Linked DNA regions of Oreochromis niloticus. The protein of the gene in region 1 purifies or fractionates together with the protein of each later gene. This does not show direct contact. Links are inferred from orthologs where the notes say so. Each region holds a gene or a part of one and is shown on either strand. Other genes may lie near its edges. The genes, in order: ranbp2 and protein bicaudal D homolog 2.

Region 1 (15,713 bases):
TGAAATCACATATACATTATCCATATAATACCATGCACAGAAAAAAAACAAGGTCAGACCTCTCTGATCAAGGCAGATGAATCTGTGCTCAGATTGAACAACATGTGGCCGGCCTGGCTCTGTCGGTCATTTGCCAGCAGCTCCAGAAGCTGTGGGGCTGTCTGATCTCTTTTGGTCACTTTTGGCTTTGGTCTGGGGACCTGGAGGAAAAACAAACCACGACTAGGTCCTGAACAAGTTCATGGCAATGTTAAGTCTTTCACCCTTTGCAAGTCAGGCAAAAAAAAAAGTAAGAGGCACTGCACAGTTGCACGATGGTACAACTACTGGAATAAATTTAAAGTGACATAAGGTAAAGTGACGTAACGATGATATAAGTAATTAATGAATCTGGTCATTTGGTGTGTCACTACCTGATATGCCAGTAGGTAGCAAAGTGCAGCCAGGTCACGAACAGCCCTCCAGGTTTGTTGACGATCCTGAACCAGCTTAAGCAGCAGCGTGCCTGCATGCAGGTAGAGGTGCCCTCTCATCTCCACAAACACCTCAAGGAGCTCGTCCGCACTGCGGCCTGCAATGCTGCTCAGTGCCTGCATAGCTTGGTCAAACCTACAAGCACAATGCAGATGAACAGTTTACAAAAAAGTTGGAATGCTAAAAACACAACTAACAACAACAACGTTAGCCTTTGTTGAAACAGCTGCAACAATTTGCCTTTTTGACATGTAAAGAGTCAAAGCATGAGACTTATTTGCTTCTCTTTCCTGTAGATCGAGGTGCAAACAACGCCTAACACAGCTACAAAACAACCTGTTACACCTAAACAGACTGAACTTTTACTAAAGACCAGAACTAAATGTGATTCAATTACATTTTATGAGGTTGGCAAGGTTTTCTGATATCAGTAATGTTTGAGAAAAAAAAAATCTGAATGTTAACTTTTCCATATAACTTTGTTTTTTTGTTTTTTTTAAACTTTAATACAATGTCACCCAGTACACGGGAGAAATTAGGTTTTGGTGAAAAAACAAAGCTTCTGATATTATTCCAGTTCTCTTAAATTCATGCGTACAAGTTTTACAATCCAGCACCAGACTTACTCTCTAAGTGCATCTAGACTTGGCTGCACGCTGCTTTCAGATAGTGTGATTCTCAGCAGGCTGCAGTGGGCCAACAACAGCTCTCTCTGAATACGTCGACTCATCTTCTCATTGTTCAAGATGCTGGGCTGAGCCAGGTACTCCTGAAACAAAGGTTATCCATTCTTTAGAAAGGTTTATGCACTTATAAGGGGAAGGGATAGCTCAGTAGGTAGAGTGGTGGCCCCATGATCGGAAGGTCGGGGGTTCGATTCCCCTGAACAGCTACCCTGAGGTACCCCTGAGCAAGGTAGTACCGTCCCTACTGCTCCCCGGGCGCCCAAAGGCTGACCACTGCTTCACTGAGTGAATGGGTTAAATGCAGAGAGGAATTTCCCCACGGGGATCAATAAAGTACACTTTCTTTCTTTCTTTCTTTATAAAGGTGGGAGGATAAGTATAATAAAGGACCAAAATAGAAGTACTTGAAGCATACTGGTCCCGCCTATTGAGGTAAACTTTAATTTAGCAGGACAGTAGTGCAAAGTCCATACTAACCTGCAGTGTGCGCACCACCTCAGTGTACCAGTCCAGACTGTTGCGCAGCATGGCTCTTTTCTCAGCAGCCAGGCAGTGTTTAACAGCCTCTTCCAGCCGGCCATCCTGACGGAACAGCTGAACCAACTTCACGTTCACGTGGGCGTCAGCCGGCCGCGCTGCCAGCTCGGTCTGAAGGAGGTCAAACAACCGGTTCCAACCCTGCTGACCCTGACGACTCAACAGGCGCTCCTAAAAGCAGCAGCACCGATGAACAGAAGACATTCAGTGTGGCATTCTTTCCACTTTTAATGAAGCTGTACCCTCTTCTTGGACTGTTTTTGTAAACCTAAATGACATTAAAACTCCCACTCATGAAAACTGGAAATTTTAATTTAGGAATAATTAGCAAAGTGATGGACAGAGCAGGCTGTGAACTAGACAACTGTTTATTAAACAACCCAAAATAGTGGGATTAAATGACTTCACAGCTGACAAAGACAATGTTTAGTGGACGTTACTGGAGCTAAAGAAGAAAGGAGGAGCTTTACCTTAAGGTTGAAAACCGCCGGGTTTCCTGGTAGCAACTTTGCAGCTTTCTCCACCCAAAACTCTGCCCTGCTGTCACACTCCTGCTTACTGACAAGCAGCTCTGCAACCTTCAGCACCAGGTCTTTCTGGGCTGGGTTCAAATCCACCGACCGCTGCAATAAAAGCGAAAAACATTGAGTCTGAAGCTGAACATATGCATCAAAAGCTCTGCCAGTTTTTTCTCTCTCCCTGCTTTACACTAAGGAATTAAAAACTCATCACCTCCTCTTCTTTGTTACATTGTGCTGATTATTAATTTCTTTATTACAGCAGCAACTGGAGCCGTTTACGTCCAAGAAACAGGTTGCACTACAGTCAGCCAACTGTGCATAAAAAACCCTGTGTTTTAACAGAGACCAGTGGGCCGTTTTCACCTCCCACAGGTGGAGAGAGCACAGCTTGAGTGCATTTAAAAAGATTGGAAGTGTACACCAATTATATAGCTGATAGTGTTTTGATGAGTCTCAGCACTGACTCTGAATCACTTTGTTTCAGCTCATTAACTGAGAACCAGCTTCATTACAGTACACATCAGTTTTAGTGTTCAGGTGCGAATGAATCAGTAAAAAAAACTCCCTCAAGGTGAGTTTAATGTTCTTAAAAGTTACTGCTACAAGAAGGGAGAGCAAATAAATCACAGTTTATTTTTCTCAATTTTCTGTCATCATTCATCTTCTAGATTTGATGCTATAGCAATAAAACCTAACAGTGCCTTTGGGAAGCTGATTATTGATTCCCGAATGTCAGAGAGAGCTTGGTGATTCATCTTTTAAAAAGTAAAACAACAAAGAGCATTTAGCATTCAGTTTGATAGACTACCTAGTGCATTAAAAAAAAAAAAAAAAGAATCACACACCAAAAGGCAGATAGAAATCACATCTAAAGCCTTGTTGTTTGCTGTGGGAAATGACCCATAGTAACAAAGAGGATACTTATTTTTAACTATTATTTTTCTATATTCATTCATCACAACTAAGCAAATTTATTCAAAGTGCATGTGGGTAATTTCCCTTTCGTGTCCAGGTAAATATACCAGTTTGGTTGGTCCATTTAAATTGGTGTGAGCATGAATCAGCAATTGCACAGACAGCACTTACAGAGCAGTTTTTAAACCCCCACACACATTATACACTTATGTACATAGACAATTGGAGGAATTTTAGGTCAATCATCTTTCTGATTTCTCAAACAAAAAGAAGCTGAATCTGAAAATCAAAGATTGCAACTGACAGCAAATACAGGGTTTGTGGAAGCTGTTCATCATTTTGTCCTTTAAACAATGTTTCCTCATTTCATACCTGAATCTTATGATTTCTTGAACCACATTCTGACTCACTTTTAAGGGAAAAATGCTTCCACTGAGATGTTCTTTTTACCTTGTAACATCCAACTGCTCTGTTGATGTCTCCCTCTCTCTCGTAGAGCTGTCCAAGGAACTTATGTGCTTTGGGATCCCTCTCCTGGACCTTGAGATAGTCTGACACATGCCTAGGAAAAGCATGAAAGACAGGAATTACAAACAATATAGCAACACACAAGCATTGGGTCAAACAATGGAGAGGCTCACATGCTTACCTTTTTGCAAGATCATATTCCTTTGCTTCAAAGTACAATTTAGCAAATAAAAACCCTTTGACTGGCTTCTGTGGAGAGAAAAAAAAAATATGTGGACCAGCATGAGGAAATGGATTCATCTTGTTATGATAGTGAGAAGATGCAATTACACATGTCCTGCAGAGTTATCTGGCTTAGTGGGATTTAAATACTTACCAGTACTCAGTACCTGCTTAGTAACTGTACCACAACCCAAAGGCCCATTTTTAGCCATAAAAAAAAAAAATCCTGCATATGGACCTGCCAATGCCTAGTTAAATCACAGCCGTCTATAATGGTTCAAGTAGATTGTTAACTGGGAATACATCAGAATAATGAAAGATATTTTTGTTCATTATCCAGTTTTGATCAAGTGATCAGCTCAAAAAAAACAACAACAACAACAAAAAAACCCCCAAAACATCTTTTATCCTGAGGAATTAACTAAATCGTAGTTTTGGGAAATTATTCCTCCCAGAGGCTAGTTAGTAACATATTAGCCATCCGGATTACAGCATTACCCATTGTCAGATTTACTGCTAGCTTCTCCTACCCACCACACTACAACTATTATCACTGACTTTTTCAGTGTCAGGTGAACAACGTAGAATAAGTTGATAGCAGGTAGTGCTCTTCTGGCTATTCCACAGACCCATTTAAAATACAAAGAGGGATCACGCTTTCCAAACCTTAGCGTCAAAACAGTTTACCTCCCCCTCTATGCACTATTGACTCTTTGGCTTCTTTAAAAAAAAAAAAAAAAAAAAAAAGAAGAAGAAGAAGAAGAAGAAAAAAAACAGCTGAAAACTCATCTATTTAGACAGGCATTTGGGTAATGCTCTTGTGCAATATGTTGTTTTTATTTGATATATTTTTAAATTCCCTGTAAAGCACTTTTTAAAACTAGATTCCTGTCTTAAAAAGTCCTATGTAAATAAATATTTCCTTACAAATCACACCAACATTTAATTTCTGTATGTTTGTTTAGGAATGATTTAACTGATGATAATACAGGTTTAAGCTCTGAACAGCATGACACCCAATCTTGTGATTTAATTCTTTAGGTAAATGTCTCCAGACTACACACATTACTGTACACAACAAAATGCACAAGGAGGCATTCCACAGGTATATGTGTAGAAGTGTGAATCTATTGTCAAACAAAACTACATTTTTGGCTCTACTGGTGCAACCCTACACATATAATTGGGCTAGACTGTTAATCTTACAATACCAAGGTTTCTCCTGACTCAAAACACACCTCTGGGAGGGTGACTGTGCATGCAAGTACAACTGCTCCACAAATAATTAAGACAGAGTCTGTGTTGCCTTACTTTTTCTATACATATTTCTGTACATTGTTACCTGTATATATACGAACCTCGTTTGCTTATGTATATAGGACCACTTTGTGTCTTCCTTTTATATTCCCCTTGGTCTAAGAGCTGTAACACCCAAATTTATCATCCGTGGAATATTAAAGGTTTATTCTATTCTAGAGGTCTGTGCATTTTTATTAATTACTTTTGATCACTAGCGACACAAAGTGTATTCTAAGCTTGAGTACATTAAACTACACACCACATCAATGAAAAACCACAATCCTGATGACTTTACTTTGATGTAAGACCAAAACATCGTTGGAATTACGCAAAAACAAAACCCTGACTAGGGTAAAGCAACTTGAGAGCATGGTTAGGACCGTTGACCACATAGCACCACATTTACTCAAGTAATTGACTGATCGACTATCATATTATGCTGCCATGTTGTAGATATGTATAAGCAATTAAACCAACATCTTCAGCTGCAACATTAAAAGGATATCTACAAAACAAATTTTCATGATCTCATAATAACACTAACATATATTTCTGCATCATTTGTCCTTTCAGTATACTTTCGAGCTAATCGCTATCAGTTAAGCATCTTTCAGACTGTTGAGCAATGCTACTTTTCACATAATACCTCTGGTACAGATAAGCCTGAATTCTGATGCATTCAAGTTTTTCTTACATTGTATTTATTTCTCATTAAATATTCTGATTTTCTGTGGGTGTAACTGTTTCCCCCCTGACATCCGATCCAAATAAATAATAATTAAAAAGAACAAAAGCAAATCAAGAAACCTTGGAACTCTGCCTGATTAACAGACAAGTCTGTTTGCAATTAAACTAAAACCACCAGTTTTTGAACAGAGTTAGGGTTGCTGCTCCTGATACGATCAAGCAACGAGCATTTTTAATTGTTGTCTGAACTGAAACCTAGCTTTTCCAGAGAAATGAAACTTGCACAACCTATCCAACTAGCTTTGTCTCGCTATCGTGGCTAACTAGCATAGCTGATTAGCTGGCGCTGTTCAAGGGATCCCATGCCGCGCATTTTCCCGAGTATAAAGGGGAGGACACGACGGGGCGTCATCACGCCGGCCGGTTAGCTACAGTCTTTAAGACTATCTGGGGGACGGGGGTTACACAGAGAACGACATATGAGTCAACCGAAATACCGTCATCGTAGTTAAAAAAGCAACGAGTGTTCATTGAACATGTGTACAGGTTGTACCTCATACCGGCTGATGTGACATGATGGCAGCAGCATGCTAACATTAGCCTCGGCGGGCTTAACTTACCTCTTTGAGTGAGGGAGAGGAACTCTGTACTGAGGAAACGTAACAGTCCACGTCAGCCTTACTTCGTCGCATAGCTTCCAAGGTCAGGGGCTTCTACAGCGGCTGAATGTGAGACATAGAAAACCAGAAATTCACTAAATATCTAAAACAAAACTGACGGTAACATCAGCTCGCCTGACGTTAACTCCCCATGATGATATTGCGCAGTCTCAATGCCGTCAAATGGCAGCTGTCACGTGACTTCTTAACCAATGAGAACAAGAATTCAGTTTAACGCAGACTGACGCATTTCAGTTTGAAGGGTTCTGTTACAAATACCTGAAAATCCTAATTTCTCCAACAATTAAGCCTTAATCCTTCATTTGATAAATATTTTGTTACATAAATTAAATATCTTTAAACCCTGTATATGTGTAACCAATAGTATTGACTTAAACAAATCATGCTATATCATGCCCAGTTTTATAGGCTGATATCTTTGCAAATTTTTCCATGTCTGTTTCTGTTGATAAGCTTCAGTCAAGGAGTTTTTTTAAAAAACATTTTTTAGTCAGCGGTTTATTCCAAAGTGTTCTCATCAAAACCTCTGCACACCTGAATGAGTAACAGTTGTCAGAGGGAAAGCTGTGCTATGCAATGCCCATTTGAACTTTATCAGCTACACAGACATTCATCATCTATTATGAACTGAGCATCAGAATGGAGAAATGATTTGGGTGATTTTGCATGTGACGTGGTTGTTGGTGCCAGATGGAGTCGACGAGTATGATTTCAGAAACTGATGATCTACTAGGATTTCTTTACACATAACCACATCTAGGATTTACTAACAATAGTCAGAAAAAGAAAAAGTATCCAGTGAGCGGCAGTTTTCTGGGTGAGAATGACTTTTTGATGCCAGAGGTCAGAGGAGACTGGTCAGACTGCTTTGAGCTGACAAGAAGGCAACAGTAAATCAAACAATCACCTGTTATAACCAAGGTTTGCAGAAGAGCATTTCTGAATCCACAACCTGCTGAACTTTGAAGCAGATGGGCTACAGTAGCAGAAAACCACACTGAGTGCCACTCCTAAGAAGAGGAAACTGAAGCTACAATTCACACAGGCTCAACAAAATTGTAGAACAGAAGACTGAAACTGTTGCCTGGTCTGTTGAGTTTTGATTTTTGCTACAACATTCAGATGGTAGAGTCAGAATTTGGTGTAAAATATATGAAAGCATGGATCTGTCAAGGAGAGAGATTACTGGTTTGATCCCAGGAGAAGACACAACTTGTTCAGCATGATTTAATTGTTTTAATTCTTCAATGTTCCATTGACATTAAAAAAGATTCTGATTCTTGTGGTGCTGTAATGTAATTATAGGCACACTTTGGGCCATTTAGTACCAACTCAGTATTGCTGAAATGCAGCAGTCTTGAGTATTGTTGCTAATCATGTCCGTGCACCTCTCTTCTGATGGTTACTTTCAGTAGCAAAACTCTCCTTGTCACAAAGCTCAAATAATCTCTTTGCTTGCTTTCTCGAACATGACAGTGAATTCACTGCACTCAAATGGCGTCCACAGTCACCAGATCTCAATCCAATAGAGCGCATTTGGGATGTGTTGGAACAGGAGAACAAATCAGCAGCATCTGCGTGATGCTATCATGTCAGTACTACTCAGCAGCTTGTAAAAGGGCCACCGCAGCAGTTAATTCTACATATTTGATTTGGTAGATTTTTTGTTTTCTCCTGTGATCAAACCAGTAATCTCTTATTTATTGAAAATAAATAAGCCATCTTTTCAACATGGACCAAAATCTCACAGAAATGTTTCCAGCACTTTATTGAATTCATCCCACAGAGAATTAGGGCAGTGCTGAAGGCAAAAGGAGGTAGAATATAAATGAAAATACTCCAGCTGGTGTACTCTGAAGATATGTATTAATAAAACTGATGTTCTTTTGTCTGTAAGTATGTATCATCTTGGATGTTGCCTTTCTTTAGTTGATACTGTGCACTGATTAATCTTCCTGTATTTTTTATCTTTAACTTTATTCCCAAAAGTTTTATATTCTGCATTGTATAAACTTACAGCATAATTCTAGTAATAAATATTTATTGTACAGGTTTATGTTTTGAACCGGTATTTTAATAGTCAAACATGTTGCAGTTGTATTTCTAATTGTTTTCTGTTAGCTGAATGTGAGTGAGAGTTAGCTAACATCTGGATATAGCCAACAATTTTGTCTTGAACTCTATTGATTTGTGCTCTTAATAACTTCTGAAGTTAGATGGATGCTGTTTCAGATTATGGTTGTCATATTGACTATCCTGCAGATGCTAATGGCTGTTTAGTGTTGCACACATGTGTATAATGTCCATTAGTAGTCCTCTGATGTTGGGATATTTTGAGTCACTTCATATGTGTGTGTATATGATAATGTGGAGCTGCTAATATACTTGATGAAGCTCAAAATCAAGCATGTTCCCATTTAACGTGGACCCGAATGCAACATATGTGAAATTTTGGAGTGTCATTAAACATTATGCAACACTTGTGAATCCTGAGCCTGCTGCTGGTTTCACGTTACACTTTGAGAATGGTAAGAAGCTGTAAACCAAATAAATCATTACACACACACCGGTAGCATTGACATATGTGTTTATTCCGATGAAGTGTCAGAATGACTTTAAATATAATAAGAAACAACTTCCCAAATTTCAAGTTAAGAACATGCACTTTGGTGTGCCAACATGAATAAATCTGCTCACAAACATTGCAATGATGATATCCAGTATCAGAGCAGTATCTGTTTGCACAGAGTCATCTCAGTCCATCAGAGTAGTAAAGTATCAAATAAAACCATGCACTGAACTATTTGTGGCTCGAGGTGCCGAAGTTCTGCCTCACAACAATCAGCCCAGCGGATAGTTTTACTTCTGTATGACATAGAGAAAGTTGTGCCATCTGCACGGAAATGCACAGCAGTAACATACACTTCATAATGATAAAATAGTGGAATGTGTTTATCTATAGAGCTTGTATTTTAAGCTAAGCTTTGTGATAAAATGGAGGTCATGTGAAGCATTCTGCAAGAATGAGACCAGTTTGGCTTTCTTTCCTAAGTGGGTCTGAGCCCCGAGGAAGTCGGTACACCTCCCTAAGAGGATCACTTTCCCTGGATTACAAACAACAGAGGAAACGTTCAAATGTTCAACATCAATCCCATATCCGGTCTCTGTACATGCCACAAGCCGTCATGTTGTAACACACACTGAGTTTGCAGTAACCATTCAATAAATCCTGTGGCTCAGATGCTTGTTATGATCAATATTTGTTGACAGCACATCGGGACGGGGGAGGGATTGTTTTATAGAACACTGACAGGTAACAGTTATTCACTCACATGTATTTAATAAATCTAAATTTCGCCCTCGGCACTTTGGCTGTATTAGATTAATTCAGATTGTAAACGCAAAAAAATGCTGAATAAATACCAATTTGCACAGAGATCATGCCACACAAAGATGCATAGCACATACAGTAACAAGGCAATCCAACACTGCAGGTGATGGTCGAGTCCGTTGTGTAATATTAAAATGTAGGTCCAAAAAACAAACAAAAAAAAGGCAGATAAAATACTTATTATGCATAATATTAATGGAAATAAACACTACTAATACATAAAATGATACAAGTTGGAAATATTTGAGGTTATTTACACATTTGGGACATTTTCTTTCTTTGGGCTTACTTGATTGTTATAGAAATGAAGCAGTAATATTTTTCAATAAAGGTTTTTTGGCATCACAAGACAAGGTGGCGGCAAAGCTTTTAAGTCATCATATTACCTCTGGCTTTCTATGTACTCTTAAAACTCATATGTCACTTTTTTAAATACAGGAAATTAGCAGGCATGTGTAAAACACACAGTGGAGCAATTTTGCAAAAATGGTACAAGGCACAAAGTTAAAGCTGTCTGACCGAAAATGTGACTGCGGAGCTGCCGGCTGCAGGCACATGAAATTGAAAGTGCAATGCTTTCTAGCTATAACCAACCTAAATGCAACATAGCAGTTGCAAAACACACAAATTCTTTATTTTAATTCTGGGCTTGTACATGGCCACCTCATGGTCTCATCTATCTTTCCCTCTCCAGCTGCTCCACTGTGTTTTTACTTCCTTGCAACAGTTTCAGACAGCTTTTTCAGTCTCTTCTTCAGCTCCAGAGGGAACTTCTCATAGCACTTCTTACACACCGGCTTCATGTCAAACTCCACAAACTTGTTCCTGTGGAAGAAAGAGAAACAGTTGTATTTCAGAAGACTGGCCAGTGATCAGTAGAGGATATTGTTTCCAGGTGAGAGGATTTTGTAACATATCATGATATGTGTAGCATCACTGTAATGATCTCATTCCTTCAGAAGCCCTTCTGACAAGTCTCAGACCTACTGAGACTCGAGATTACTTTTGAAATCTAATTTTTTGAATACATTTTTAATTCCATCATAAAAACTCTGATTCCTGCGAACATTGGACGTAGCAACGTCTGAATTTCGAATGTTATTTTTCAGACCTTTATTTCAAAACCCCAAATCCTGGACAAAGATGCACACCTTCCCATGCGTGTTTCTGGTAGGGTGCTGCAATTAATCATATTTTTATCTTTAAAGACAATACACAAGAAGAAGACAGCTGTCTTAACTTAAGACTTAAATTTGGATACTGATACCAGGGATTCTAAATATCACATTATCCTCTGCATTCAAAGTATCATGTCACATTTGACTTCTGACCTAATATTTACATTTCACATCTGCCTTTCTTTCAACTTGACCTCATCTTTTCTCACCCTTTATAACAAAAACTGACGCCCTACAAGGCTGAGACATGATCAAGATGAGAGAAACGCACATCCCTCTTTTAATAATTGCAGTCTCAACGTTAAATGAAGTGATTCTGATCATTGTTTTTCAAGCAGCCCTAATTTATGTCTGTTTTAGCACTGGGATTCATGAGCATTCATAATGCCTTTTGACGAATAACAATTCCCTGAATGAACAGAATCTTGCCTGTGTTTTCCTTGACAGAAATCACTGTGTGTGCTGACACAGAGTTACAAGAAAATATTTACAGAGATGTAGGAGGTCTTTGGGTGCCTTCTGATTGTGTTCACTTCTACTAACTTGGCCAGCTCCCTAACCAATTTCCTCCAGCTGCCCCTGAACAGCCTTCCCTCCCAAAGTAGATAATCGCTGTATGGAGCGGCGCACGTGTCATAACTGTTAGGACCTCGGAATTTCAACAGCTGATGCCAGAAAGCTGCCGGAAATGATTACGGCTTTGCGGCTTACACCAGACAGACTGGGAGACCCATGAAACAAAGCTTTCCCTTCAACTTGTGATTGATCTGATTTTCCTGTTTGCACAGCAGAGGTTACAAGAGTACCGGCTTAAATCCTTACTAGCATTTCCGGCTAGGAAAAGAACATTTTGCTGAAATGTTCCCGGTCTTACGTCACTCAGATACACTCAGTCATCTACAATTCTCTGCTTGTATTTTTGTTTCATGCCTTGAAAGCCAACTGAACTCAGTGTATCAGTGATCTAAGGGCATGGAAAGTAGGAAAAAACTGAAACAGATAGCAAGGAAGACGAAAACTGACCAAAGGAAAGATCAGCTGAAGTAAGGAGAGAGGAGAAAGAGAGGGATCACAGACACATGGGTATCAATTTCTTCTTCTTCTCTTTTGAGTCACGTTCTCGCTTGGCCAGCCGACGTTTCATGTCATCAGGGAGGCGCTCATAGCAGTGTTTGCACACCGGCTTCAGATCCACCTCCACAAACTTATCCCTGATAGAGCAGGGAGGAAGCAGAGATGGAAATGTGAAAGAGGAGGAAGACATGAGGAGGGGCAGAGAGAGAAGATGAAGGGAAAGGAATGAAGGAGAGGGAAGGGGAAAAGTGGGACAAGACAGGAGGACGATGAAAGGAAGGCGAGGTGAAGAAACAAGCCATCAGAGACATAGCAACAGAGAAAGGTAAGAAAAAACAGTTTGGTAGCAGCAGCAAACAGTCTCAGATGGAGGATAGTGAAAAGAAACGTGATAGACTAAACAGAGAAACTGTCAGACATATCACATGTGAAAGTCTACAGAGAATCTTCAAATATTCATAATTCAGTTTGAATTGTCTGCAAAACTTACTTCAGGGTGAGCTTGGTGTTGCAAGTAGAGCAGGCAAAACAGTTGACACACCACGCCTTGTTAAGAGCAGACACCACTGGGAAAAAAAAGCAGAAGGAGCAGCCACATGAGGCAGATTGTAGACTTATAGTTTAAATTAAACTAATGTTGGTGTGAAGTTCAGGCTACAAATAATTCTCAAGGCAAAACATGAGAAGAAAATCAAGTTAAATTCAATATAATAAGGAAGCAGTAAAAGTAAAAAAACAAAAAAACAAAAAACAATGCTGATGTAAACAGCCATTATACATTATATTTATTAAAATTAACTTCCTCACCATCGCCTTCAATAACACGATTGCAGTGGTAGCAAACATCCCCAAACAGCTGCATGTGACGAGGAGAGAGAAACAAAAGGTTAACAATGCACTGATACATCTTATCGGTTTTTATTGAGGCTCACATGACACACAGTACTGTGCTCAGAAGGCACAGAAACAAGCGCAGGCTACAAGGCATTTGGGGTGAAAAAGAAAAAAGATCCACTACAGCTTTCTAACACTAGGTGGAGTTGTTACATTGACAATCATCTTTGAGAGCCACTGAAGTGAACACTAATGTAACCTGTCTCATATACACGTATGAGAAAGACGAGCTTTAAGGCTCCTTTACGATGAAAAAAATGATCTCCTGATTAATTTTTGGAAAGCCTGCTTTCCTGATTGCTCCCCACCAAATCAGTGCCTATAATAGCAAACTCCTTACGATCATGGGAGTCTGCGCCAAGCTCAATAGTAGAAAAAACATCAGAAATTGAGAATCTGGACCCGTTTGAAACCTGAGCTTTTTGCTCGGCTCACTTCTACATGTGTTTATCTCATTATTGAGATTTTAGTCCTGTTTAATATAAGCACCCAACTCATATAAAAGAAAATTAAAGTCCACCAAAAAATGTAATCATTTTGATATAATATTATAGATCTATGATCATGATCATGCTAATTGCTTTGGGACAAGAGAAATATCTCTTTCAGTGTAACACATATCTACCTGTGCAAGTGGTTTTTTATATAGACTCACTGGACAAAAAACTAATATGTGTATATCTGGAACAGATCCATAATGCTTACATACACTTATGGTCACTTTATTAGGTACACCTTTGTTAGTACCTGGTTGGACCTCCTTTTGGAATCTTAACTGCCTTAATTCTTCATGGCACCAATTCAACACAGTGCTGTAATAATTCCTCAAAGATTTTGGTGCATATCGACATGATGGTATTACACAAATGCTGCAGATTTGTCAGCTGCACATCTATGATCTTCCACCATGTTCCAAAGGTGCTCTATTGGATTAAGATCTGGTGACTGAAGGCTATTTGAGCACAGTGAACTCGTCATGTTGAAGAAACCAGTTTGAGATGATCTAAACTTTGCGACATGGTCTGTTATCCTATTGGAAGCTGCCATCAGAAGATGGGTACACTGTGGTCACAAAGTGATGGGCATGGTCAGGAACAATACTGAAGTAGGTGTTTTAATGATGCTCAAATGACACCAGGAGCCTGAGCTGTTGGTACAGGCCAAGATGGGGCGATGCTTTCATGTCAGCTACACCAATTTGTTGATCAGGTGTACCCAATAAAGTGTCCAGTAAGCATATGTATATATGTATATATATATATATATATATATATATATATATATTTATACATTCACTGCTAATGTCAACTCTCTTACTGACACTGATAGAGTCACACATACCATAAACTAAGACAGAGAAATGGGAGTTTCACAACAGGCTAAACATACTAGCATGTTTCAATTTCTATTTTGGTGTTCCACATCAATATTTCGAGTACCAGTGTGTGTTACCTGGTTGTAGTGCGTTTCGCAGTAGGCCAGGCCCTTGCGTTCGTAGTGACGGTGTCCCAGGAAAGGTTTCTCACACTTAGCACACACAAAATGCTGCAAGCAAACCCAAGCCAGGCACACATGGTTAGCACAGCCATCAGTCAGTACAGTACCACACTCAGACTGTGTTAAAGGTAGCAGCACAGTCCGGCTTAGATATTATCAGAACATAAATAGATCAGTCGTTTCAAATGTTTTGTTACTGCGTCCATACAGAGAGTTGAGAAGTCAGAATAGTGACCTCTAGAGGATATTGGGAAAATACAACATTTTTATGACGGTAATGAATAAAAATCATATCTCAGCCACGAGATATAACATATTTTTGATTAATACATGTGAGGGCATGGATTTTTTAAATAGCTGATTTTGGTGGATAGTTTTACGATCCACTTTTTAAATGCTAACGTTCATTTACAAAATAAATACTATATATATATGTAGCCAGCATCTTTTTCTGGTAGCACATATAAACTCTCAGACAGAGCTCTAGATGTCACAGGACAATAAAGCTCTCTAGATACCCTTAAATGTCAAGTCAGGAAAAGCACCTCGTTTGAAATTAAGGTGGAAGTATGATTAGGCCCCAAGAAAAAAGTTTGGCAAGAAATCCACTTTTTAGTTGAAAGACTAATTAGAAAACTTGTATACTTGTGTAACCCCTTGTATGGAGGCCGGGTGACTGTAGACAGGCAGGGAGGCGGGGCGGTAACCAACGTAAGGCCGGTGCTTAATCCCCTCACCATATCAAAGTGTCTCTCACAATAGGCACGACCGCCTCGCTCATAAAACGGGTGGCCCTGAAACGGGCGCTCGCACACAGTGCACACATGATGCTACACGTGGAGGAGGAAAGACAGGAAAATACGCAAGGAAATATGTAAAAATAGAGATGAAAATAGGAAAAATACATCGATACATATATGGAGGAATAAAGCCAATAAACGTAACTGTGGAGGTAAAAAATATGGATAAAAAGTATGGCACATTTTTAAGAACACTCACTAGGATAAAATATAGATAACAGAAAGCAATAATTTTCTTTTCTCTATGAAATCCAGCTGAGAATGTCTGTGTTTGTTCTATTTCTATAAATACAGAAAAGGAAAATAACCAAAGAATACATCATTTAGAGTTAAACTATATCTACATACAATGTGACAAATCATACTAAATAAATGAACACACTGAAATAT
Region 2 (15,713 bases), on another chromosome or scaffold:
CTGTGGTGCGGTCCACCGCTTGCTGCAGGTGGCGGATCTGGTCCCTGATAATAGCAACAAGGTTATAGATGTTCATGGGTTCCGGCCGGTGCTCGTGTGCTGCAGTAACTGCTGCGCTGCTGGAGTCGGACTTTCCAGATTCAGTCTCACTGATTAACCCGTTAGTGAGAAGTACTGACTGGTGATCCTTTGCTTCTTGCCCCTTTCTTACAATGGCCTTGCCTTCCTTGTAATAGTCGAGCATGACGCGGTTAGGGGTTTCATTGTTGCACATGCACACGTGGTTGTAGAGGTTGGCCAGCTCTTCACTGAAGGCTACGAGCTCATCCTGCGCCACATTAAGGCTGCCAAGTGATTCTCCTGCAGCTTCGTTGGCCAGACAGAGCTCCCTCTCCAGACGTGACAACGCTGCTTTATCTGCTTGGCTAATTTTCTCCAAGGACGACAGCTTTGCCCTCAAGTCCTGGACATCGCTTTCCAGCCGCGCTCGCTCATCTTCATATTGGGTTCGACACTCCTCGTATTGCGCCCTTAGTGTTTTCAGCTCTTGTCTCAGTTCTCCAGCTTCAGACACTGCCACGGTGTATTTACACTGCAGAATCTCAGGCCCGTTAATGTCCAGTTCATAGTAGTCTCCATCGTCATGGCTGTCCCTGTCTTTCTCACTGTCAAGGGCAGACTGCCGCTCCTTACTGGCCTGAAGTTTCCTCATTGCACTTAGATTTTCAGTCAACCTGTTGACCGTTTGCTTTTGCTCGGACACAGTCCCATAGGCCTGTTCCAGCTGCTTCTGGCTCTCCTGCAGAGAGTTGATCAGGGCAACTTTTTCCCTCTCAACCTACAGAAACACAGATATAAAGAGTTCATTAGTCAGCTAGGCCACGTTATATATATAAAAAAGAGAAAGAATAAAACAGGAACGGCCTTTTTGGCCAGGTGACAGAGTGCAATTAAAGTTTCTTAACAACCTTTCAGGAACTTTTGAGTGACTCAGTTAATGGTGTACCCAATGATAGCTATCTCAGTGTGACCTGCCAATCCTGATGATTACTAGTCATTTAGTATCACTACATTACAGATTTAGTTCAGCTCCTTAGTTTGTCATTTACTTTTCTAGTAGATTTGTATAAACCCCACACAGTTTGTGGTGTTCTTATCTAGTAACTGTAGTTTGGCGTGCTGTTTTATTTTGTATGAATGATATTTTGTATACAAACTGAGTTACTGCACACATGGGTGACATCTGTCTATGCTGGTTTAGCCCAGTTGCCCTTTATACGCTCTAGATCCACAGAATACACAGCGACAAATAAAGTTAGGGATGCATTAGACTGATAGCATTTCCTGTTTTCTCAAAACTCTTGTGATAACATCTTAAATTCTTTTGGCCACGATAATCATCTAGTGAAAATAGCATGGCAGCCTTTCTACGACATCTACAGTAGAACTTAAGCTTTTTACTGAATGAGAAATCATGGCATCAGGTATGCTGCAGTCAGAAAACGATAGCTCTTAAGCCAAGTGCATCTGATGGATCTCATACCTGCACCAGCTGTTGTTTCAGTTTCTGTATCTCTGATATGTTGAGCTCACTCAGCAGGTCGTCCACCAAGCTAGGGACTGGTTTGAAGCCCTCTCCTCTCTTGTTCACTGCAGTTCTATTGTCTTCATCACTTTCGCTCAATTTAACCAAGCCGTTCTCAAACCCTCTTATTAGATCATCATTGTCCGGTTCATTGATGGCTGAAGGGTCCTCGTGGAGTTTGGCATTATCAATGGAAATACTGAAAGAGCTACTGTACACGGAGCCGCCAATGGTCATATAGTGGGAGAGCTCTTTGCGCAGCGAGGCCTTCTGCTCACGCTCTGTCTTGATGGTCTCTAAAGCTTCCGTCAGCTGCCGCTCGGCAATTTCCCTCAGACGCATTGCTTCCTCCAGCTGGCTGTGCAGACACTGGGTGTCTTCCTCCAGGCGGCGGATCTCATGCTTTAGACCTTCAAATTCCACCTGTAGAGACAGCAAAAATATAAATAACGCAGCTAATACTTTTACACAAGTAAGCAGCATCTGTTATAATTTGTGAAACAGGCATAAGTGCATCATGGTTGGCCAAAATATTACACGCAGACCCATTTTTTGAATGTAAAATTTGGTGTGTGCTCATATTTTTAAATTGTAAGGAAATGACATAATGACTGTGTAGCGATATTAGAACCAAAATAATAATATGGCTAGTCTGACTCATAAAAACATGAACAACACAGCTATTTCTGAATGATTTCCACCCACTACAAAACTTGAGTTTTATGGCCAGTCTCACCTGGTTCTGTTTCAACACAGACACTTGTTTCTGAAGTGAGATGTTCTCCTCCTCCAACTCGCTGTAGTCCTGCAGCAGTCGAGCCTCCCGAACCTTGTACTCTCTGATGTCATCCCGCAGCTGACTGCGCTGCAGCTCTGCCAGCTCTGAATTCTGCACACAAGAACGGGGACAACTGAATGAACTTTAATTTAAACCTATGTTCACCATGAGCAAATGCAGTGTAAATCACAAACTACACGCTTGCAATAGTTCAGCAAATGAGTTAAAATAAAGGCAAGAGTGCTTCACATGCCACAAGTCTTTGGCAGCCATGTGCAATGACGGAAGGAGGACATGGTCCACTTACCAATTCATTCTACAGAGAGCCCCGGTGGAGGACATCCTTTGTGTCACTCACTGTGGACCATTACATCATCTTTCCTGCTGGGCTCAGTGCAACCGTGCAAACTGGCCCTCCCCCATGATAAGAAGCAGCTCTCTCACAACCAACACTGGCAACTTTTCGTAGTCTACAAGTCAACTTCAGTTAGCATTACAAGCTTTCATTGATTTCCCAAATGTGCTGCAAATAGCAGATCTCCGATTATGACACATAAAAGACGCAGATTCAACCCTTGGCTTACTATATACTATGATAAGAAAATGCTCAACAGGAGTTAAAGTGAGCATTTGAGTATAAATCGTGATAAGAAATTCATATTGCAGCACTCTCAATACCTACCTCTCTCATTTCCAGGGCAATGGATGACAGGCGGTCATTTTCAGCTTGTGCACTGGCGAGGGAAGCTTTGGCCTGCCGGAGCTCATTCTGTAACTCCAGGACCTTCTGCTGGTAGAGAGCCTCCTTACTGGCAGACTCCAGTATCAATGACTCTTCCCTGCTCTCCCCATCTGCTGCCACCTTTCTGTGGGTTGAGTAAGCATGTCCAAAGGCCTAAAGACAGACACAAAAAGCAATAGAACAAACATGTTTGATTAACGATTCATTACAAACCTGCTTTAAGACACATGCACACAACCACGAGCATGGCCAAAATAACTAGTTAGAGACTTCAGTAAATAAAGATCTTCACAATTTGATAACTATTTCAGAAAATATCACAAATGTGTGTGTATGGGGTACTGGACAGTTCTTTCTAGTAACAATGACCTAAGTAAAATTCTCCATCTCAAGAGAGGAAATGAAACCACAGATAAGGAAATATACACGATAAGTATCGGTTCTTACTCATCACTCTAAATAAAATTGTAGTTAAATTGGGGATGCATGGTTACATGTTACATTCACTGTGTTTATTTCTTTGGGTTTTTTTGTTACAGAAGAGTTTTGCTGCAAACACAGATTACATCTGAAACTTATTCAAACAACAATTTTGGCCAAACTGATTTTTCTAATGATAAAATGTTTCCTAACATGAATTTGTTTCTCTATTTAACGATGATGATGACAGAGCCTTTATGGATCCCAAATGAAATGTAGACATTCATTAGCACAAAAAACATCAAACATGAAATACCGATAAATACTGAAACTAGCAGAGACAACAATTATACTGTAACAGAATACGAGATGGTTTGTGAGAAACTACAATAGTGAAGTGACACTCTTACAGCAGTCATGCTCTACTAGAGGATACAGAACAGTACAATCTGCATAATCACAAAGATAGACTAAAAAAAGTGGATGTGACGACTTTCATTGTTTTTGATAATTAAATTACAAGGCCATAAACAACAAAACTAACTGCTTTCAAGTGTATTTGTAAATGCTTGAAGCCTAGTAATACATAAAACCATAACTAATAAAAATAGAGCACTGCAGCATATCTGCCATAAATAAATGATAGAATATTATGTTAAAATATAGAATCTTTTTAAAAAAAAGTATCCAGTATAAAATCAAATACTCTAGCTTCATACATGACCACCACTTGGTAAAACAGTTCAGTCACTTGAGGATTACAAAGTACTCAAATGTAAATTTCAAAATCTGGCAGAAATTTTAATTTTATTGACATTTTGACAGGTCTGTGTTTTTCTGCAATTAAAAAACACTGTTCAAATAATCATCAAAGACAAATCTGTACAGATATTGCTTTGATATTATAAAATAAATATTTATCTACTTTAAAACAGATTGGATAAATGGCAAGCAATATTCCCAAAGCTGCAGCATGTGTTTTACTTTCAATGTTTAACTAGCTACTAGGAACAGTCTTTGGAATCTTTTGCAAAATGTCACTTGAATAGTTTTACTAAGCAGGTGCAATGTGAACTAATTTTCAGAATAGCAGTAAACTGATGAATAATTTGATGCCATATCTGCACAATTACCTACTAAACAGCCAAACACACATTAAGTCAACAGTTACGTAACAGCAAATGGAACCCACTGTAGAGTTAGATGTCTTTTTCCGGCCAATTCTCAGTCAGACAAACAGATCTGTGTAACTAGGATCATAGTCATGGTCAGTCATGATGATGTGAATCGATAGGAGGCTGATAGAGGACGAGGATGGACGATTCCTTTACCTACCTCACTACTCAGCGATGTACTGTAGTAAGGGGAAACTGTCACAGTCATGAGATACTAAGTAAATGACCACAACAATTAGTCACTTCGTGATGCAACTATAATCTATAAACCAGAAAATTCCCGGTAGTGGCAAAAATCTCACATCCTCCTTTTTAATTTACATTTCATGATATTAGACTAGATTTCCTGTATAAAGGTATTAATAAGACTGCGACCCATTTAAGCCCAGCCTACACACAATGACCTATCACCATTTCACGTGAACACAAACACTGAAGGACACTAATAATAGAAATTGGACATTTAGACATACAGCTGACAGACAGCAATGTGGAAGTGCTTTAGGATGCATTTCCTCTACTGACTGACAGACTGGATGTGACAACAGTCTTAAGACTGAACTGAAGGGAAGTTCCCAACCACCCCCAACACACACACTTCTTTATTCTCTAATGAAATACAGACAGATTTTCCCACATGTTAGGATCTTAGTGGCTGGTGGTGCGTCTTATGAGTTGCTGTGAAAAAGTGTTGCCAAGTTATCTTTCTTTAGCTTAATGTTTACTAGATTCATAGATTCGCCCACCTGTCATATTTAGCTGTAGAGGTTATTCCTCTACAGTGAAACTGAAGGGCCTAGGGGTTGGCTGACATTGTGGGTTAAAAATGTCTCAACAGACAAGCTATTAGGAGATGAAAAGAAACACAGATATTCAGGGTTATTAACTTCTTTTTTTAGTGATTTCACCATTGGAAAAACTTCTATGTTATTTTTAAACAGGTTAACAGCAAATTGGCCAAACAGGCTTAAATGTGACATAAGCCACTGCAGCTACAGTCTGATTTCAAGGCCTCAGCCTTTGGAGCAAGTAAAGGCAAGTAATCCAAACTAATGACAGTTTTCATCCTTTAAGGCGAGGCAACATTAGGTAACACTGCAATATTTCTGCTTGGAGGTGGTTATGCATATTTCAAACTTCATATAATATTTGAGGAGGCAGGAGGGATATAAATAGACATGGGGCTGGGGCTCAGAGGAAGCAAACCCCACTACCGACTGCTTCTAGTTTGATCCCCGATGTCACTCTAAATTCCCACCGTGCTACTATTATAACATGCACTAAGTTGCTCTCCTCGCCTTCACATACTGACTGATGCCAGGACTTATATCTGGCTGCGTGGCGGTGACCTCGGGTTACCTCCTTCAGCTGATCCAATTCCTGTCGGACCGTCTCGTAGTCCGTCTCCAACTCATCAAATCGCTGCTTTAGCTGCTGTTTCTCCTCCAGCACCGCCAGCCCATACTCAGCCGCCTGGATCTTCTCCTGGGTCGTTTCGCGAAGCTCCCGGGTCAGACGCTCCACTTCGGCTTGGAGCCACTGCGGCCCGGCTTCTGTCACCAGTACCGCCTCAGGATATTCCTGCTCCTCCATAGACATCTTGGCGAGCCGCCGACTCCCAACTGTAACGGGACCCAGCCCTGACTAGCGGGAGCAGCGGAGCAAACCACCAAGACCGCAAATCACTGCCTTCTTTGTTTGGGGCGCATTGTTGGGCTTAAACTGTGTTTAGTTTCCCGGGCTTTCTCTCACTGCGGACCTCGACGGAGCTTAAACTGGACAACAGTTTGCTCATTCTCGATATTTTTCTGTCCCTTCTTGAAGCTGACAGAGGAAACTTCAGTTGAGATCATCGATTAGAAAAAAAAAGCTCCCCCCTACACGGCATTCAAATCAGCGTGACTACGAAGGGAAATGTAGTTTTAAGTGAAGCGCGCCACCTCAAGTACTCCTTGCTTCTGAAGCCGCGTTGACTACAAGTACCAGAATGCATTGCGTCTGTCGAGACAGGACCCCACAGTTTACTGAAACGCCATCTAGAGAATCAATAGTGAAATTGCAACTATAATTACATTGGGAATTAGGATCTTTATTAGAGTCTATGGGTATTTTCGTTATACTCACTTGTCGAATGAACAATAGATTAGTTAATTATAGAAATATGATCTTCAGTCACTTTATTTATTAGGTACACCTGTTCAACTGCTCATAAACGCAAATATCAAATCAGCCAATCACATGGCAGCAACTTAATGCATCCAGGCATGTAGACATGGCCAATATTATCTGCTGAAGTTCAAACTGAGCATCAGAATGTGGAAGAAAGGTGAGTTAGGTGAATTTCATTTAAGTTTTATGATTGATGGTGTCAGGCGGGCTGGTTTGAGTACTTTACTGCTGCTCTACTGAGATTATCGCACACAACCATCTTTAGGATTTACAGAGAAAATATCCAGTGAGCATGGTTGATGTCTGCTTCAAGCTCATAGGAAGGCAACAGTAACTCAAATGGCAATTCACCACAACTAAGGTGTGCAGAACAGCATCTCTAAATGCACAACTCGTGCAACGTTGAAGAAGATGAGCAAAAGACCACACCGGGTTCCACACAAGTGGCAGCTAAGAACAGGAAACTGGACAATAGACGACTGGAAAAAACATTGCATGATCTGATAAGTCTTAATTTCTGCTGAAACATTCTGATAGTAGGGACAGAATTTGGTATAAGATGAAAGCATGGATCCATCTTGCCTTATATCAGCTGCTCATGCTAATGCTGATGGCGCAATGGTGTGTGAGATTTTTTCTTTGGAACACTTTGGGGTACTTAGTACTAACTGAGCATCATTTAAATGCCACAGTCTATCTGAATTCTGCTGTTTGCCATGTCCATCTGTTTACACTGTGGCTATCTTCTATTGACTGTGTCCAGCAGGATAACCATCTTCAAATGATCTCAAACTGGTTTCTTGTACATGTTCACTCTACTCAAATGACCTCCACAGTCATCAGATATCAATCCAATAGAGCACCCTTGGGATGTGATACAATGGGAGATTTGGGTCATGGATGTACAGCTGACAAAAAGGGGGCTAATGAATATATATATATATATATATATTTTAAAAAATCACAAAAAAATATTTAATATTTTGTTTATTTTCCTTCTTTATTAGAAAATGGAAAAAGTTTATTATAAAAGTAGCGGGCAATTAAGTACTTTTAGAAGTCTTGTTAAATGGTCAGAAGGTCTCTATCCCTGACTTAAATCTGCTCATGAACTACGTGGACTGACACCAGGTTGTGGTTATGTGATCAAAGAGTGCAAAGACTGTCAGCTTTTTTGTGTATTTATGTGTAAATTACAGTAAAAAAAAAAAAAAATGCTTTAAAAAAAAATTTATTTGAATGCCAAACAACTGAGGACATGATTCAAATCTAGTAGTTCACAAGGTGACAGAGCACTGTCTTATTGTTTTTAACCTTTGACACACGTGAATGTGAAAGAAAAACTGTGTCAGCGGGACTTCCGTCCATGGTAGTGACAGTCCTTGGCAGTAGTTTGAGGAAGTTGTCTACTGAATGCTGATTGTTTTGTATTGCTACACCTGCCTGGGGACTTCAGGAGCAGCTGAGCTGAAATGGTGTGTACACCTGTGTTTCTGCCTTTCGCTGAGGTTTTCTATCTACGATTGTAGCTCTTGCTCTGTGTAGGCACATTGTTATATTTATAACAGTGTGTCTAAACAGTGTGTACATTGCTGCTTTCACTTTCTCTCACATGCTGTTTTTTCTTATTTCCTATTATCAGCAGCATGTTGTATGTTTATCCATCAACCTATTGATCATTTCTTTTTCAGGAGTACAAAAGGAAGTTAATTTTTGACTTTTATCAACACTGTATGTATATTTATTATGTTTATTTATTATCAACAGATTTGGCAGAGATGTTCCTTTCTGTAGAATATTCATTTGAAACCTATTATTCTGAACATTTCAGATAAATATTACCATTTCTATTCAATCTGCTTTGGACTGGGATGTGGAATGGCTTTCTATAGGCCATTTCGAAGTAAGTTACACTTTTTAAGCCGCTGTTCAAAGTAATTAACCTCTGGCTGAGCCAAGACTGAATAACGACCCATTTATTATTTTTGCTTTCACTTTCAGCACTCGCAGTTCCAGTATGTCTTGGTATATTTTGCACCATAGCGTTTGAGATTCTGGGCATTTTTACTGGTAAGTAGAATTTTTTATAAAATTCACACCAAAATTTAAAGCGAAATGTTTTTCCAAAAAGAAAAATGTAATTTTACATAATGCACTGCAGGTTCTGCTTGTCACAATGTCTGTCTTGACTTTTCTACCCTGCTCAGACCTGCCTGCCCATACTAAAAGATGTAAAGGTGCTCCCTACGACAACAGAGGTACTTCCCGCTGCTATATCAAAGACAGAATCCTAATCTTACATCAGAGTCCATATTTAGATTGGTTTTGTATAAAAGCTAAACATTACCATCAAACTCTCCTTAGATACCTACTGGGGATTTGCTGTTGCACTATTTGTTGCTTTCTTGCACCTCCACTCATATCATGGTAAGACCACAATACTTTAAATATAAGACTTTATATAATACATGGAATATTCAGATACTCAGGGGATATACTGTTTTAACTGTGGTTAAATAATGTGTTTTTCAGTTTACACACTATCGTATGGATGTGGAATCATAACGTTTGCTCTTAGAGGAGCAAAACGGAAATACAGCTCTCTGAGGTTTGTCCTCTTCAAAAACTATTTTTGCACATTCTTCCTGTAGAATACAGACTGTTTAAAGAGCAGTGCTTATCAAAGTTTAGAGTGTAGAAGGCCAGTGGGAAATATGGAGAGGAAAGATGTTCAGTCAGAATGCTTGATCTACAAACAAACACGGGTTTTCTTATATTATGGCTCTGATCTTCATTTAACTAAATATTAAACTCATTTTTTTAATCGATTATGACTCATATGAATTGTGTGGTGGTGGATGTCATTATTTTTTTTATTCGCTCCTGAAGGGGGCATGCTAGTACAAGTTTTAGGAGCACTTCTGCAGAATTCATTCAATGTTTTTAAATGTTTTTGAAAGTTGGGATTTGTATGACCCAAAAAAATGCATTTGTTTGTTTTGAACAGGGAGCAGAGAGAGAGAACGAGAACCTGGTGGTGGTGATTTTAAAATTACAGTGGGGGGATTTACAGGAAGCTATTTAAGTGGTATTTAAGATGATGAGATGGTGACGTTTTATGTCACTGTAGAAACAAACACTGTAGTTTCCTCTTTTTTTCCACTATAAATGTCTCTGCAAACTTGTGAATGTATATTATACCAGTACACTGAAGTTCATCTGACTTTCATAAGATGGGACTGTCTCATACCAATGCATGCTAACACTGATGGCTGTTCATAAATTTCATAGATACTTTCCCATTATAGTTGCAGATTGCTGTTTATGAGCAGTGCTTAAATAACACACGTCAACACAAAGGCGAACAGAAACTATTGTAAATGGTAAAAGTCAAATGCAGAGGGCTTTATTACATGAAAGTATGGTACATACAAAATTTCAAGTAACAAAGAAAGTGTTTGTTCTTAGGCTGACACGCTGGACGTAACTAGCTATTCAACATCACAGCCCACTGTATCCTCTATCAGCACTGGTGGCTCTTCTTTGCTCCACGTTGTGTAAAGATTACACTGCTGTTGAGGTCCAAAAGCAGTGCTAGAGCACAAATGAACACTGAGGTGTGTTGGTTTACGGTAACTGAAATTTCAATAACAAAAGACATTGCTGAATAGAAACAAATTTAAAAACTACAAAAATGAAAGTGAAATCATCTGAATGTTTAAATTCTGGCTCTGCATGACTGCTCTTTATGACGTGTACACATTTCTTTCACTTTGTTTCCTAAAGTCTTTCACAACAACAACTCATTTAGTTTCTGTCTGACACACACACTCTATGATAAACACCGACTTGAAAACTATGCCCCACTCAGTATTACAAGCTATAGCAAAACAATATAAAACCACTGCCAGTTGAATGAATCCAGGAGCATTAAGAACACATTAGAGGATCACACAGCAGACATGTAATACCGGACTTTTTTTTTTTTTTAATAGTGAGCATCCACCAATGAAAATGTCAGTTATGTCCACATTTCTATCATTGAAATGGGTCTATAACAACGCTGGTATTATCAGTGAGGATATGCATGTTGCATGAATTTGTGTGTCTCAGTTTTGGTGATAAATACACAAAAAGGAAGGCAAACATGGAACTCTAATGTGTACAGCACAAAATCACATTACTTTAGTAGCCTACACACTTAGGGGTATTCACTGTGAACGAAATCAAAGAGTTGGGTGCCATGTGAATCGAAAACATATTTGACTACTTAGCCTTATCTTCAGGGGTGTAATTGGATAGGTAGGTGGTTACTTGGCATTGGTAGAGCTGCTGACCATCTTACGAATGGCCTGGGAAATGGCATCACGGTCGATACCGTAGATCTTCAGCAGCTCGTGGGGTTTTCCACTGCGAGGAATGTGGGACACAGCGAGACGGTGCAGACTGAAGCCAGACTCATTGACCATTGCTGAAGACACTGCTTCGCCAAGACCACCTGTGAAAAAACAACAAAGGAATATATAAAAGACAAATGTGAAAGACAAATTCACTTAAAGGCATTTCTAACTGTCTGGTCAATGTGATGTCATAAAGATGGGACATTTCTAACATGGTCATCTCGGGCTGTGTGTGTGAAGTCCTGAATTCAGAAGTAAATAAATGAAATGAAATAAAGGTAGCTATATAGAAAAATTATGCCCTTGAATGATATTGTTTTACATTATTTCTTGTAGATGTAATAATGTAGCAAGTACTATATTTGTAATTTTGAAGTACTGCCCAATTGTGTCCGAGAATAAAAAGATGGAGCGGGAAGTTCAAGCATATTTGGTTCCCATTACAGTATCCAAAAACACTGAGTCTCTGTGCACACTTTACATAAAGGGATAACAAAAAAATCATTACAGCTCAGTGTAAAAATGATCCCCTTGAACGCTGCACAACAGCTGTTCCAGATGTACAATGAATGAGATGCACAACATCAGACAAATTACAGTTGTTAAATTTCCTTTGTCCAGCCTCGTCCATGCCATCACCCATCCCCTTTCTCTTAGCAGGCACAGGCCATAGCTGTCTGTGCTATCTAGGTCACAGTCAGCCCCATGGGCACCCGCTTAGTTAAGGAAATCTGACAGCACTCTGCCTCCATGGCTGTCGCACTTACAAAATGCACCACAGTACCAATACCTTGCCTGCAATGAAGGCACACGACAGGCGGTCTCAGCCCTCAGCCAATAAGCAATTGCCAGCACAACCCATCTACATCAGTGAACCAATGCAAACATGCCACCACAACACTCCCAAGGATGTGCACCAATGACGAGGCGCAGCCGCATTATGCTACTGAGCTTGTTGCTGCTTGGTTGGCGAGAGGCATGCAATATGCAAAATCCGACCAACTTTTATATAAACATACCTTCGTAGTAGTGGTCCTCGACAGTGAGGATCCTTCCCCTGGTAGCACGTGTGTGGTCGATGATCGTTTTGACATCCAAAGGTTTGATTGTGAAGGGGTCAATCACTCGGACAGAGATCCTCTCTGAAAGATGAATTTTAGTAGAAAAATACAATGCATAAAGATACATCATACGGTTAACCGAACCTCAGCGATTGAATATAGGAGAATATAGCAGTTCTGCCAACCTGATAAAGAAAGCATAGTTTGTGCAAGAAACACAAAAACTAAGATCAGGCTAACATTTACATGACAAACTGAACACAGAACCATTCAAAACCTATTCTAAGGAACAGTGATGGTCTAACAGACACATTCTAAAAAAAAAAAAAAGAGATATAAATGGTCAAATCTGACCAGCTAGCAGCGGATTACAATGTCTTTTCTTGTAATTGTTCTGGATGTGTCGGCACATATCTTGCGGACCTTTCTTTAGATGTTCAGCTGCAGCAAGGGCCTCATGCAAAGTCACTCCAGCTGCCACCACAGTGACTTGGTCGTCCTTGCTTTGGTACACCACCTGTCAAAGAGAAGGAAATGTACCCTCTGTAAGCTGTAGTATTTCGAGTGATTATTTTGAAACAATAATCTGCCATTTCTGCCTCATGTGTTTATCTCTCACTGTCTTAAGAGAAGCACAAATAGCGTCTCACCTTTGCCTGTCCAACATGGAAGTCCTCATTGCTGTTGTAGACGATAGCACAGTCTTGGCGGCTGGTTCGGATGTAACAAACACCCTAAATGAAAAGGAAAATGAAAAGATCATTACCGCAATAGATGATCATGTAGGGGAGCTGTAACACTGCCATTTTTGTTTAAGTACCTTCGTGGTTGCAGCCAGTTCCACAGCCTTCTCTGTAGACACGCCATCACAGGGATAGAAAATGGTTGCTGTGGGAAGGGCCCTGAACATAGCTACGTCCTCCAGACCCATCAGGGCAGGGCCCTCCTCTCCTGCAACATACACATTTATAGTTGATTTTATGCATTCAACACTGAGGAAATCTTCAAAAGTTATCCACTTGTTAGGTGAGCTGAAGCATGCAGGTGCACAAGCATAAAGTTCGGCTGCATGCAGTGTACCTGCACTAACTGAGGGACACTTGGTTCCCTGTTGACAGCTTCCAGGGCAGACACGAAAGGAGAAAAGGGGGAAGTTTGAGTAATAGCTGTAAGGTCAAGGAGGGTAAATGGCAAGGAAAACACAGCATTAGAGGGAAAAAATAGAAAGGATTGAAACAACTCACAAACTGACACAGACTTCTTGTATACACTTATGCATTTATTAAGGAGGCTGTGGATATATTCTGAGGAACTGGGTGCTCTGAAGTGGTTGGATTCGGTGTAAGAGGGAATGAGGGTGAATTTGTGAAGGTGTGAGTTTGGTGACATGTATGAGAAGGGTTTTCATGTGAATTGTTCATTGGCAGCAGTCTACTGACCGGTGGACAGACCGCAGTGAGAGCCGCACAGATTGATGTTGCTTTCTGAGATCGCTGCCATACGAAGCTGGTCATAGGCGCGAGTGAAAAAGGATGCAAGAGTGCTGGCAAATACCATGTTCCTCTCTCGGGCTGCACATCCCATCGCAACGCTGACCTGGGAAATGAAATCATTATTTCTTAGTACCTTTGCAAGCGAGGAAACCTTCATGTGCCAAACTAAAGAGACACAGGTTGCAAGAACGTCATCACACAAAGATCACCCAGAGGGTAAAATATCTGTAGTGCAAACCATATTTGAAGGCCTCTTTGAACTAAAGACCACAGTAAGCAGAAAGTTTTGCACAAATCTCTGAAGCTTATTTTACCATATGGATAGGATCAGTGTCATACCTCCTCTTACAAATAATTTCCTTTGTCCTGTCTCCAAACCTCTCCACAGTCCCACATCTTCTCTTCTTTGTCAAAAGTAACATCTGACGTTACATAAATGAATTCAACAAAACTCCATTTATTTTTGTTTATAACTAATTAAGTTTTTTTAGTGTTATACACTGAAAAAAAGAACATGTTGGATTTACTTAATTCAAATGTGGACATTGGTTGAACACAATTGTTTTGCTTTGGCAGAAAATTAAACAACTGAGTTAAATCAACACAACTTATTCAGTATTTTAATCCTTCACAATTTTGTCAATTTATTCCAAAACTATTCAATAACTTTTACCCCAATACTACTTGGTCACTTAAATACTACTTGGTCACTTAAATACTACATGTTGTCTTCATATTACATAATGTTCAACAAAGTCTAGAGTCTGGTAAAGATAAGAATTTAATGGATTTACAACAACTTCCACTCTATCTTTCTTCAGGTTGCAGGGGAATAATCCAGAGTCAGGGTACACCCTGGACAGGTCGCCAGTCTTTCACATAGAGATGAACAATCATTTGCACTCACATTCACAGGTAATTTAGAATCACCAGTTAACCTAACTATAATACCTGCATGACTTTTAACTGTGGAAGGAAACCAGAGTACCAAGAGAAAACCAACTGCAAACTAGCCAGATTGTGGAGTTGAACCCAGGACCGTCTTGCTGTGAGGCAACAGTGCTAACCACCACACCACAAAGCTGTCCTTCCAGACTTAACAAAAGTAGGAAAGCTATGATTACAAGTCTTGAAACAGAATTTTCTGGACATGTTTGTCCTTGACATGTCATCTCAACAAGAACAAATTAAGTTGTTGAATTTCAAACAGATTTAATTACGTTCACCATAGAAACATGAAAAAATTATTTTGCTCAAATTACAGGTTAGACTTTTGTAAATGCAATAACCAACCAATTTCCTTTTTTTCAGTGTAGGTGAGTCTTGCACAATTTTTTAATTTCATCTCGATAAGCGACAGTTTATTGCACCCTTGAACTTTTGACTTTTCTCATGCATTCAGCCAGATGGTCCCACCCTCTGTAGTGATTAATATTTTACTTCTGAATACACTTGTCATGACTGCTTATCATCATGGAAATGCCTGACCTACATTGAAGCAGGGTGCTGCTGGGGATATGAAAAGACAAGAAATTAGCATTCGATTGTCTCTCTTCAAATTAGGTTCTGATAAAATGATGACCAAAGCAAAAGAAAGGGGTTTTCTAACCACTGGTGTCAGCAGCTGCCACACTGATGTAAAAGGAAGAACTTGAGTTTTTTATGTGACTATCCTCACATTACAGGGCAGGTACAGACAAGCCATGTGTAATTTAATAACATAAGCTCAATTTCGCAGCTGTGGCATGCTAGGTTGTGCATACAGCAAATGAAGAGCAGTTTACTGAGAAGAATCGCTATTAAATAGCAACTCTGTTACATTTAAAATGAAATGATAGCATTAAACTAAAAATGACAGAATAATAGGATTCACATCTGTTTTTGAAGAAA

The links.
Region 2: the proteins of ranbp2 (region 1) and protein bicaudal D homolog 2 purify together in Homo sapiens (affinity purification with western blotting; 3 studies listed by BioGRID and IntAct, with this or other methods). This does not show direct contact. The link is inferred for Oreochromis niloticus from reciprocal best matches to the Homo sapiens genes RANBP2 and BICD2.

Annotation. Positions count from the first base shown.
Region 1 is NC_031987.2:11,381,177-11,396,889, forward strand, and holds the start of ranbp2 (E3 SUMO-protein ligase RanBP2), read right to left. Parts: upstream 6,653-15,713; 5' UTR 6,502-6,652; coding exon 6,430-6,501; intron 3,851-6,429; coding exon 3,783-3,850; intron 3,696-3,782; coding exon 3,584-3,695; intron 2,321-3,583; coding exon 2,168-2,320; intron 1,869-2,167; coding exon 1,638-1,868; intron 1,244-1,637; coding exon 1,101-1,243; intron 610-1,100; coding exon 414-609; intron 201-413; coding exon 60-200; intron 1-59. Other genes in the region: lims2 (LIM and senescent cell antigen-like-containing domain protein 2), read right to left, coding at 12,128-12,269, 12,623-12,698, 12,940-12,988, 14,479-14,571. UniProt on the Homo sapiens protein: E3 SUMO-protein ligase which facilitates SUMO1 and SUMO2 conjugation by UBE2I. Involved in transport factor (Ran-GTP, karyopherin)-mediated protein import via the F-G repeat-containing domain which acts as a docking site for substrates.
Region 2 is NC_031970.2:20,556,170-20,571,882, forward strand, and holds the start of protein bicaudal D homolog 2, read right to left. Parts: upstream 6,558-15,713; 5' UTR 6,300-6,557; coding exon 6,060-6,299; intron 3,259-6,059; coding exon 3,046-3,258; intron 2,475-3,045; coding exon 2,322-2,474; intron 2,009-2,321; coding exon 1,544-2,008; intron 839-1,543; coding exon 1-838. Other genes in the region: transketolase, read right to left, coding at 11,180-11,367, 12,289-12,411, 12,754-12,847, 12,981-13,064, 13,151-13,281, 13,770-13,926. UniProt on the Homo sapiens protein: Acts as an adapter protein linking the dynein motor complex to various cargos and converts dynein from a non-processive to a highly processive motor in the presence of dynactin.